Linked DNA regions of Drosophila melanogaster. The protein of the gene in region 1 purifies or fractionates together with the protein of each later gene. This does not show direct contact. Each region holds a gene or a part of one and is shown on either strand. Other genes may lie near its edges.

The links.
Region 2: the proteins of Fnta (region 1) and Fntb purify together in Drosophila melanogaster (affinity purification with mass spectrometry, with the first as the bait; one large-scale study listed by BioGRID). This does not show direct contact.

The regions. Positions count from the first base shown.
Region 1 is NT_033779.5:4,828,396-4,832,271, reverse strand, and holds Fnta (farnesyl transferase alpha subunit), read left to right. Parts: upstream 1-1,578; 5' UTR 1,579-1,664; coding exon 1,665-1,803; intron 1,804-1,871; coding exon 1,872-2,232; exon of another isoform or gene 2,233-2,292; coding exon 2,293-2,788; 3' UTR 2,789-3,058; downstream 3,059-3,876. Other genes in the region: Ir25a (ionotropic receptor 25a), read left to right, coding at 1-268, 340-855, 911-1,304.
Region 2 is NT_033777.3:16,430,928-16,435,451, forward strand, and holds Fntb (farnesyl transferase beta subunit), read left to right. Parts: upstream 1-2,070; 5' UTR 2,071-2,155; coding exon 2,156-2,254; intron 2,255-2,310; coding exon 2,311-2,567; intron 2,568-2,629; coding exon 2,630-3,301; intron 3,302-3,357; coding exon 3,358-3,589; 3' UTR 3,590-3,813; downstream 3,814-4,524. Other genes in the region: CG31279 (uncharacterized protein), read left to right, coding at 1-14, 71-264, 355-780, 1,188-1,613, 1,672-1,869; CG14881 (uncharacterized protein), read left to right, coding at 4,038-4,146, 4,207-4,374, 4,429-4,524.

The DNA.
Region 1 (3,876 bases):
AGTTCCTTACCGTGCTGGAAACGAACGTGTGGCTTTGCATCCTGGCTGCCTACTTCTTTACCAGCTTTCTCATGTGGATCTTCGATCGCTGGAGTCCCTATAGCTATCAGAACAATCGAGAGAAGTACAAGGACGACGAGGAGAAGCGCGAGTTCAATCTGAAGGAGTGCCTCTGGTTCTGCATGACTTCATTGACACCTCAAGGCGGTGGCGAGGCTCCAAAGAATCTGTCTGGCCGTTTAGTGGCCGCCACCTGGTGGCTATTCGGGTGGGTAGTTGCTCTTCATTTGCTTGTAAACTCTTTCCTTTTTAAAAGAGTTTTTTTGTTCTTCCCTTAAGTTTTATCATTATTGCTTCGTACACGGCCAATTTGGCTGCCTTCTTGACCGTATCACGTTTGGATACGCCCGTTGAAAGCTTGGATGACCTGGCGAAGCAGTACAAGATCCTATACGCTCCATTGAATGGCTCATCTGCGATGACATATTTCGAGCGTATGTCCAACATAGAGCAGATGTTTTACGAGATTTGGAAGGATCTGTCGCTGAACGACTCCCTGACCGCCGTGGAGCGCTCCAAGCTGGCTGTTTGGGATTATCCAGTGAGCGACAAGTATACCAAGATGTGGCAGGCCATGCAGGAGGCGAAGCTACCGGCCACCCTCGACGAAGCGGTGGCCCGGGTTAGAAATTCGACAGCTGCCACGGGTTTTGCCTTTCTGGGCGATGCCACCGATATACGCTACCTGCAGTTGACCAACTGTGATTTGCAGGTGGTGGGCGAGGAGTTCTCCCGGAAACCCTATGCCATAGCTGTTCAGCAGGGATCGCATCTCAAGGATCAGTTTAATAATGCGTGAGTAATGGGAAAATATAGATGTGAGCTTCTTCATATCGTTGTGGTGCTTTAGAATCCTGACCCTGCTCAACAAACGACAGCTGGAGAAGCTCAAGGAGAAGTGGTGGAAGAACGACGAAGCTCTGGCCAAGTGCGATAAGCCGGAGGATCAATCGGATGGCATCTCGATCCAGAACATTGGCGGCGTCTTCATTGTCATATTCGTGGGCATTGGAATGGCCTGCATCACGCTGGTCTTTGAGTACTGGTGGTACAGGTACCGCAAGAATCCGCGGATCATCGATGTGGCCGAAGCCAATGCGGAGCGATCCAATGCTGCTGACCATCCTGGCAAGCTGGTCGATGGTGTGATCCTTGGCCACTCGGGGGAGAAGTTCGAGAAGTCAAAAGCTGCACTGCGTCCGCGCTTTAATCAGTATCCGGCCACGTTTAAGCCTCGTTTCTAGAATTACTCGTATACCAATGAAACGAATATTATGGTAAAATGAGCACTCGGATGTCTACGTCTAGTTTTAAAGAAATCAGTCACTTTGTGCACTTTTATTGAACTCTTAATAAATGTTTAAACAAAATAATTGTAAAACCTTTGTATTTATTATTTTTGAATTTCAAATAATATTTCAAAAGCCGCTGGTATTTCTAGTTTAGTATTAAATACCGCCTTCTGCTATCGAGAAATCGACACCGATAGGTTCGGACAATAAAACGCCCCCGATATCGATAGGCCCGATAAATTCGGACAAAAAAGAACAACATAAAATTCCGCCCGCACCCGCGCTCAACAGTTTTGTTTTTAACTAACCGCGATGGGAGACAGTTCAGATGAGGAATATCTGGGCACGGACTGGCTGGCTTACAGCGAACGCTCCGACTGGGAAGATGTGCAACCGCTCGCCCAGGACGACGGTCCCAATCCGGTGGTGTCCATTGCTTACAGTCAAAAGTGTGAGTAATGCATGCGGCTTTATCTCTGGATGTCACTTTATCTGAGCAAATATCTCCGTACATCGTAGTTCGCGAGGTCTTCGACTACATGAGGGCCATAATTGCGCGGGGGGAGAAGAGCCAACGTGCCTTGGACCTAACCACGGACGCACTGCGTCTGAATCCGGCTAACTACACGGTCTGGCAATACAGACGCGACGTTCTGCGCGAACTAAAGGCTGATCTGTATGCGGAACTGGACTATCTGACCGAGGTGATTGGCCAGAACTCGAAAAACTACCAGGTTTGGCACCACCGTCGCGTCATCGTCGAGATGCTGAACGATCCCAGCAACGAGCTGGAGCTTACTGAGAACGCCCTGGTCAACGATGGCGATGCCAAGAACTACCACGCCTGGCAACATCGCCAGTGGGCCATTCGCAGCTTTAAGTGAGTAGTCGTATGTTTATTAAGATTTACTTTCTATAAATTAATGTCCACTACTTTTAGTCTCTATGACGATGAACTTAGCTTTGTGGATCGTCTCATTAGCGAGGATCAGCGCAACAATTCGGCCTGGAACCAGCGCTTCTTTGTGATCAAGCATTTTGGATTCACGCCGGAGCTGATCCAGCGCGAACTGTCGTACACGATGAATCGCATTCGCATCATCAAAAACAACGAGAGTGCCTGGAACTATTTGGTGGGCGTGATGCGGCAGGGCGACAGTGGAAATGCCCTGCTGAGCAGCTACCCGGATGTCGTGGACTTTGTGGAGGAGCTCTACCAGGCTGGCAATCGATCGCCCTACCTGCTGGCCTTCCTCATCGATCTCTACCAGGAGCAGGCGCTCCAACTAAAGGCCAGCGATAGCGATCAACTCGCCCGCAAGGTGTACGGTCTGTGCGAGGACATGGCCACCAAACACGATGTGATTCGTCGCAAGTACTGGCAGTATGTGGCCAACCATCTGAAGAACCAGCTAAGCACGGTCGAACAGAAGTAGCAGCAGTTGTCCAGGTTACAAATCCATTATTGCTTAGTTTTAAGCCACATACGACGTACTTAGGCCTTCTTCTTTATACATAAATAAAATTTAATTTACCGTCAAGTGAGCTGAGCGCCAAGAATGTTGCAAAACCCCAGTCACATACTACACATTGCCACATGCCCTGATGGGCGGCTGTCTTCATCTTTGCCGCGCATCCGTCCGACTCTGTTTATCTAAGTGAGCTGTTGTGTTTGCACACGTAAATTTCATTAACAATGAGCAGATAATTTTAGCGCAGTGTCTGCGCCAGCTGAGGCCAGTCGGCGGCTAAAGTGAGCTTGTAAATTATGCAAACAATTAATATTTTTAATGCTGGACTTTAGCAAGAGCTTCTGTTTTGTTTGCAAATGAATGTGGGAAGTATCGTAAATACTCAAGAAAATATTTCTAGAGCAAAAACTATCTTTACCTTCAGCTATCTGCGTTTAGTTGCCATCGCAATCGTTATCTTTTTCGTCAGAGACGGAAAGAACCTTCAGTGTGCTGTCTCAATATTGTTATTTATTTAAATTTGCTTCTTTTAGGTTTTTGTGTTTGTTTTTTTTTTTCTCATTCGTTTTTTAGTTCGAGTACATACAATATAGCAGTTTGTAATATATAACTTTTCATTTAATTTGATTTTCTTGCATACATATTGAGATTCGGTTTTTGCATTTTCGTAATCGAAAGCCACCAAAGATGATCCAGATTCTCATCGAAAATCATCCAAGGGGCCAGTGGGAATCAGGAATTGGTAATTTGGAATCGGGTTTGGGGGCTATGTACTTAAAATGAAGCAGAAGACATCTTTGGCGTGTTTTTTATTTCGTTTGTTTCTTTTTAGTTCAGCTAAATAGGAGCAAAATCATTGAGTACTCGTTTGCGTAGTTTAATAAAATTTCGTAATAGTAAAATATATATTTATTTTGTATTTTTGTTTGGTTTTCGCTTCGTTTCGTATTCCCTTCATGGGGTTTTGGGTTTATATGTATATATATAAATTTGAAAAAAGCCTATAAATCCAAATATGTTTGGTTGGTACGCGACCATTTAAAATCAAAGCA
Region 2 (4,524 bases), on another chromosome or scaffold:
TGGCTTGATCTTCGGTGAGCTGCAATTGCGATTCGCTATGATTCTTCGATTGAGAATCAGATCCCAACAGATCTGACCGTCACCAATCGCATCAGGAGTGACAAAAGGGAGACGCTGGACTTCAATGTCGTCTCGAATGGGGAATGCACTGTGAACACGACCCATGGGGAGCAGGTGCACGCGATGGGAAGGATCTTTGGCGGGGATTTTGGCTCCGTCGAACCGGGCAAGAGTGAAACTGTCTCCCTGGTCTGGCCCACTGTGGTAGGTCCAATGATCATTGATTCTTATAGATTTACACTTGCATATTGACATATTGGCATATGAAATTGCACATTCCACATTTGCTTACAGTCTCTGTACAACCGTGTGGGCAGCTGCCCCATTCTAATCTCAGCCACAAGTGCCCACGCTACGGATGCAGTGGCAACCGCGAGGCAGGTGCTGCACTTTGACACCCGCTTTGAGACCCTGGATCCGCACGGCAACAAGCTGCGCCGGCGGAAGGATTACAAGGACTGTCGCAACTGGGACAAGGATTACCTGCGCAACTGCACACCGCTGAACTGTGAGGAGCGTTACTTTGGGAAACGGAGCTTTTTCAATAGGGAAACGGAACAGTGCGAACCGGTGACTGATTGCTCGGCCCCAGGCGAGTACTACGACATCTTCAGCAACGAGCGCGTCGATCCTGGCAATTTCGTGTCCGAGGAGGAGCTGGACCTCATTAAGCAAGGAAAGTTCGACTTTAATTTTTTGGATTTGCGGGGGCCACCATCGGTAAATATTGTTAATACCAATAACTTTTTGTTTTTACCTTTTCTAAAATATTGAAAATCTGCGTGCGTTTAAATACCCATATCAACGCATTCTCACAGGCGCCATCTTACGTATTTGGCTTGAAGCTCGTGCACTGCTTGCATCGCAACAATGGGGTCAAGCAGTGCGTGCGTATGTACAAATTTTTTGTTGAGGAAGCACTAAAGTAAAGTCGTGCCACATGCGTGAATATGGCGCCGTGGCTTAGTTGGTTAAAGCGCCTGTCTAGTAAACAGGAGATCGTGAGTTCGAATCTCGCCGGGGCCTATTGGAACACGATTTGAGTGTGCCAGTAATATTTTTTCTATTATATTTTCTATTTCTATCAAGCTATTATTTTTATATACTAAATTAATCTTACCGTTTAGCAGCATGAGCCGAAAGCCAACAAAGCGCTTCCTTACAAGAAAAATACCAGGCCAACAAGGCACTTTGTCCATTCCAAGCATGAGAAGTCAGATGATTGCGACAATTTGCGTAAGCTAACCCTGGCCGATTTTAACGACTGCTTTCAGCATTTGCAGGATGGTCAGTCCGAGCCGGTCGCAGTTGAACCCACAATCGAGAAGAAAATCAAGAAAAAATCGCCATTTGAGGTGCCCATGCTAACGCAGCTCTATTACGACTGGTATCTTCCTTTAAGGAGCGATAGCTGGGGGGAAGGCGGAGAAATCGGTGCCATAGGTGATCCCAGTCCACAAAATGTCTCATCGGGATCGGAACCCCTCATCACGTGGATCGGCAAGCTGGATTGGAAGGGCTGGCTGTTCCTGATTCTCAGAGGAAGCTTTTTCGTGAGTTTGTGATGTCGGTGCCCGAACAATGTAAATTTATATTATACAATTATTGCAGATCTTATTGCTAATTGTGTTTCAGGTTTTCGCCACTCTGACGGCCTATTTTATAGTGTGTCTATTTGTCTATGGATTTATGGAACTGTATGGCTTGTGGACTAGTGACGATGCACCCGAGACATTTATGTTGGACTCCAGTTCTCAATCCACCGCCTACAATCTCGTCACCACAGAAAGTTTGATGTCACATCGATAACCGAGTTTTAAGAATTTTAAATGTGAATTTATGGTCTTTTTATAAATATTTAATTGTATATTACTGGCTTTAATGTTGGAAATAATGAATTATTAAAATGTAAAATTTTTTAATATCTAGCCAAAGGAAAATAAATCGAGTTTTTGTATAGGGAATACCCTAATCAAATAAAAAGCAGTGTTGCAAGTTGAATTTACATCACACAAACAAAAACCATTCGCTTAAAATTCCTGCTCGGCAAATCTTTTTAGTTTATTTAATTTAATTTAACCGGCTCGGAGTAGAAATGGGAACCGAGGAGGAGCTGATGTTCCGCAACTTCCAGCGCCTGAAAAGCTACATCTTCGACGACGAGAAGGTGTCCACCACCACATCCCGCGAGCAAGTGAGTAATCCCCGAATGTCGCCCAGGAAAAGATAAGAGCCGATGAATACTTGCAGCAAAAGACGGAGAGTTCGGTGGAGAAATGCTTCGACCGCTTCGAGCAGATAATGTTCACCGACCCGCGCCTCACCCAGATCTTCCGGCTGGAGCACCAGTACTACCTGGACGCGATGCTGAGGCGGCTGCCGTCCAATTACGAGTGCCTGGACAGCAGTCGCGCGTGGTGCGTTTACTGGATCCTGCAGGCGGCCCAGCTACTTAGCTTTAACTTCGACGACCAGACATTGAACCACGTGGTCCAGTTTCTAAGCAAGTGCGTCTTTGAAGGATATTTCTCTAATAGGCATCCTTAATGCTCCAATCACTCTTTCATAGCTGCCGTTCGCCGACTGGGGGTTTTGGAGGAGGACCTGGACAGTATGCCCATCTGGCGCCCACCTATGCAGCAGTGAACAGTCTGTGCATCATCGGAAGCGAGCAGGCGTACCGTGCCATAGACCGACCGACTTTGGTCCAGTTCCTGTTCAGTGTACGTGACTCAGACGGCTCCTTCCGGCTCCACGTGGATGGTGAGACGGATGTGCGTGGCGCCTACTGCGCAATCTCCTGCGCAAAGCTGCTAAATCTTCCCGAGCCAGTGATCAAGGAGCTATTTGCCGGCACTGGCGACTGGATAGCCCAGTGTCAGACATACGAGGGAGGATTTGGAGGAGCCCCTGGTCTGGAGGCCCATGGTGGCTACACCTTCTGCGGAATCGCGGGCCTGGCGCTGCTCAACGAGGCTGATAAGTGCGACAGGCAGGCTTTGCTCAAATGGACACTGCGCCGTCAGATGACCTACGAAGGCGGCTTCCAAGGGAGGACCAACAAACTGGTTGATGGCTGCTACTCCTTCTGGGTGGGAGCCACCATTCCCATTACGCAGGCAACGCTATCCGGCGTCGATAAGCAAATGGAGCACACCCTTTTCGATGTGGAGGCCCTGCAGGAGTACATCCTGCTCTGCTGCCAAAAGCAGAGCGGCGGGCTTATCGACAAACCCGGAAAGTAAGGGATTAATGCCAACATTGTGATGTTTTTTAATGTAAAACCCATATTTTCAGACCGCAGGATCTCTACCACACATGCTATACTCTTAGTGGCGTTTCCATTGCCCAGCACTCGGAGTGCGCCAGCAGCCCCCAGGTCCTGGGCGACACCATTAACGAGCTACTGCCTACCCACCCACTGTTCAACATCCCACCAAAGTCAGTTGCAGCTGCCAGGAGCCACTTCAGCAATTCCAATGACACAGAGTTCTTGGGGAAAGACAGTCCCAGCAAGGAGGAGAGTTAAGGCTTCAGGTCAGGAGGAGGAGCCTGCGTAATGAGGACGTTTTGCTGGTGGTTTACCTTTAAAGAACTAAACTTGGTTTAATAAATTAATCTTTGAAATATTGTATTTTTCGCTTCTTGTATAAATGTACTTATTGGAAAAGGAATTGATTAAAATGTTTAACGTTTTCTAAAAAATATTTATGTCATATATTATTTCGAAATAAAATTATTATGTTTTCAAATAAATTCATGTGTGATTTTGTACAACAACCCAATTGCTCATTATAAAAAAAAATGAGATGAAACAAATAACTTTTATAAATGTGGCTTTGAATCCGAAAGCTATTATTTTGCCCCCAATGTATTTCAGCACGTTTATATGTGAATGGTAAAACATGAATAGTTTGCGTTGTGAATGGCATTTTGGGACTGATTTCAAATCGCAGCTTTGCCTTCGCATCCTTTTTATGTTCTCCAGCCACAGGACATTGAAGAGGAGGACGCCTGCCCAGGGCATTGACCGCCGGGAGTACATTGGTCACCTGGTCGATGAGTATTATACGACAACCAACATCGGTAAGGTTTTTATTCACGTCATTTTGCCGGTGTGAATTCATTTTTGATTTTCATTATTAGAGGCCCAGCAGCAGGTGACTGCTAATTTGGCCAATTTTGCATACGATCCCATCAACTGGTCGCATCTCCTGGAGGCGGACGCCTTGGATGTATTTGTGGCATCGCTGGAGACACAGGATCAGCTATTAAAAGTGCACGGAATTGCGGCATTGTGTAACCTTTGCCTGGGTAAGCAAACATTTGATTTTCAAACCAACCTTGTTCATCATATTCTTATTGCAGACAAAACGGCTGCCAAATTTATCAGAGAGCAGCTAAAACTGCTAACCGGCCTCTTTGTGCGCACTGATCACCCGGAAATAGTACTTCACAGCCTGG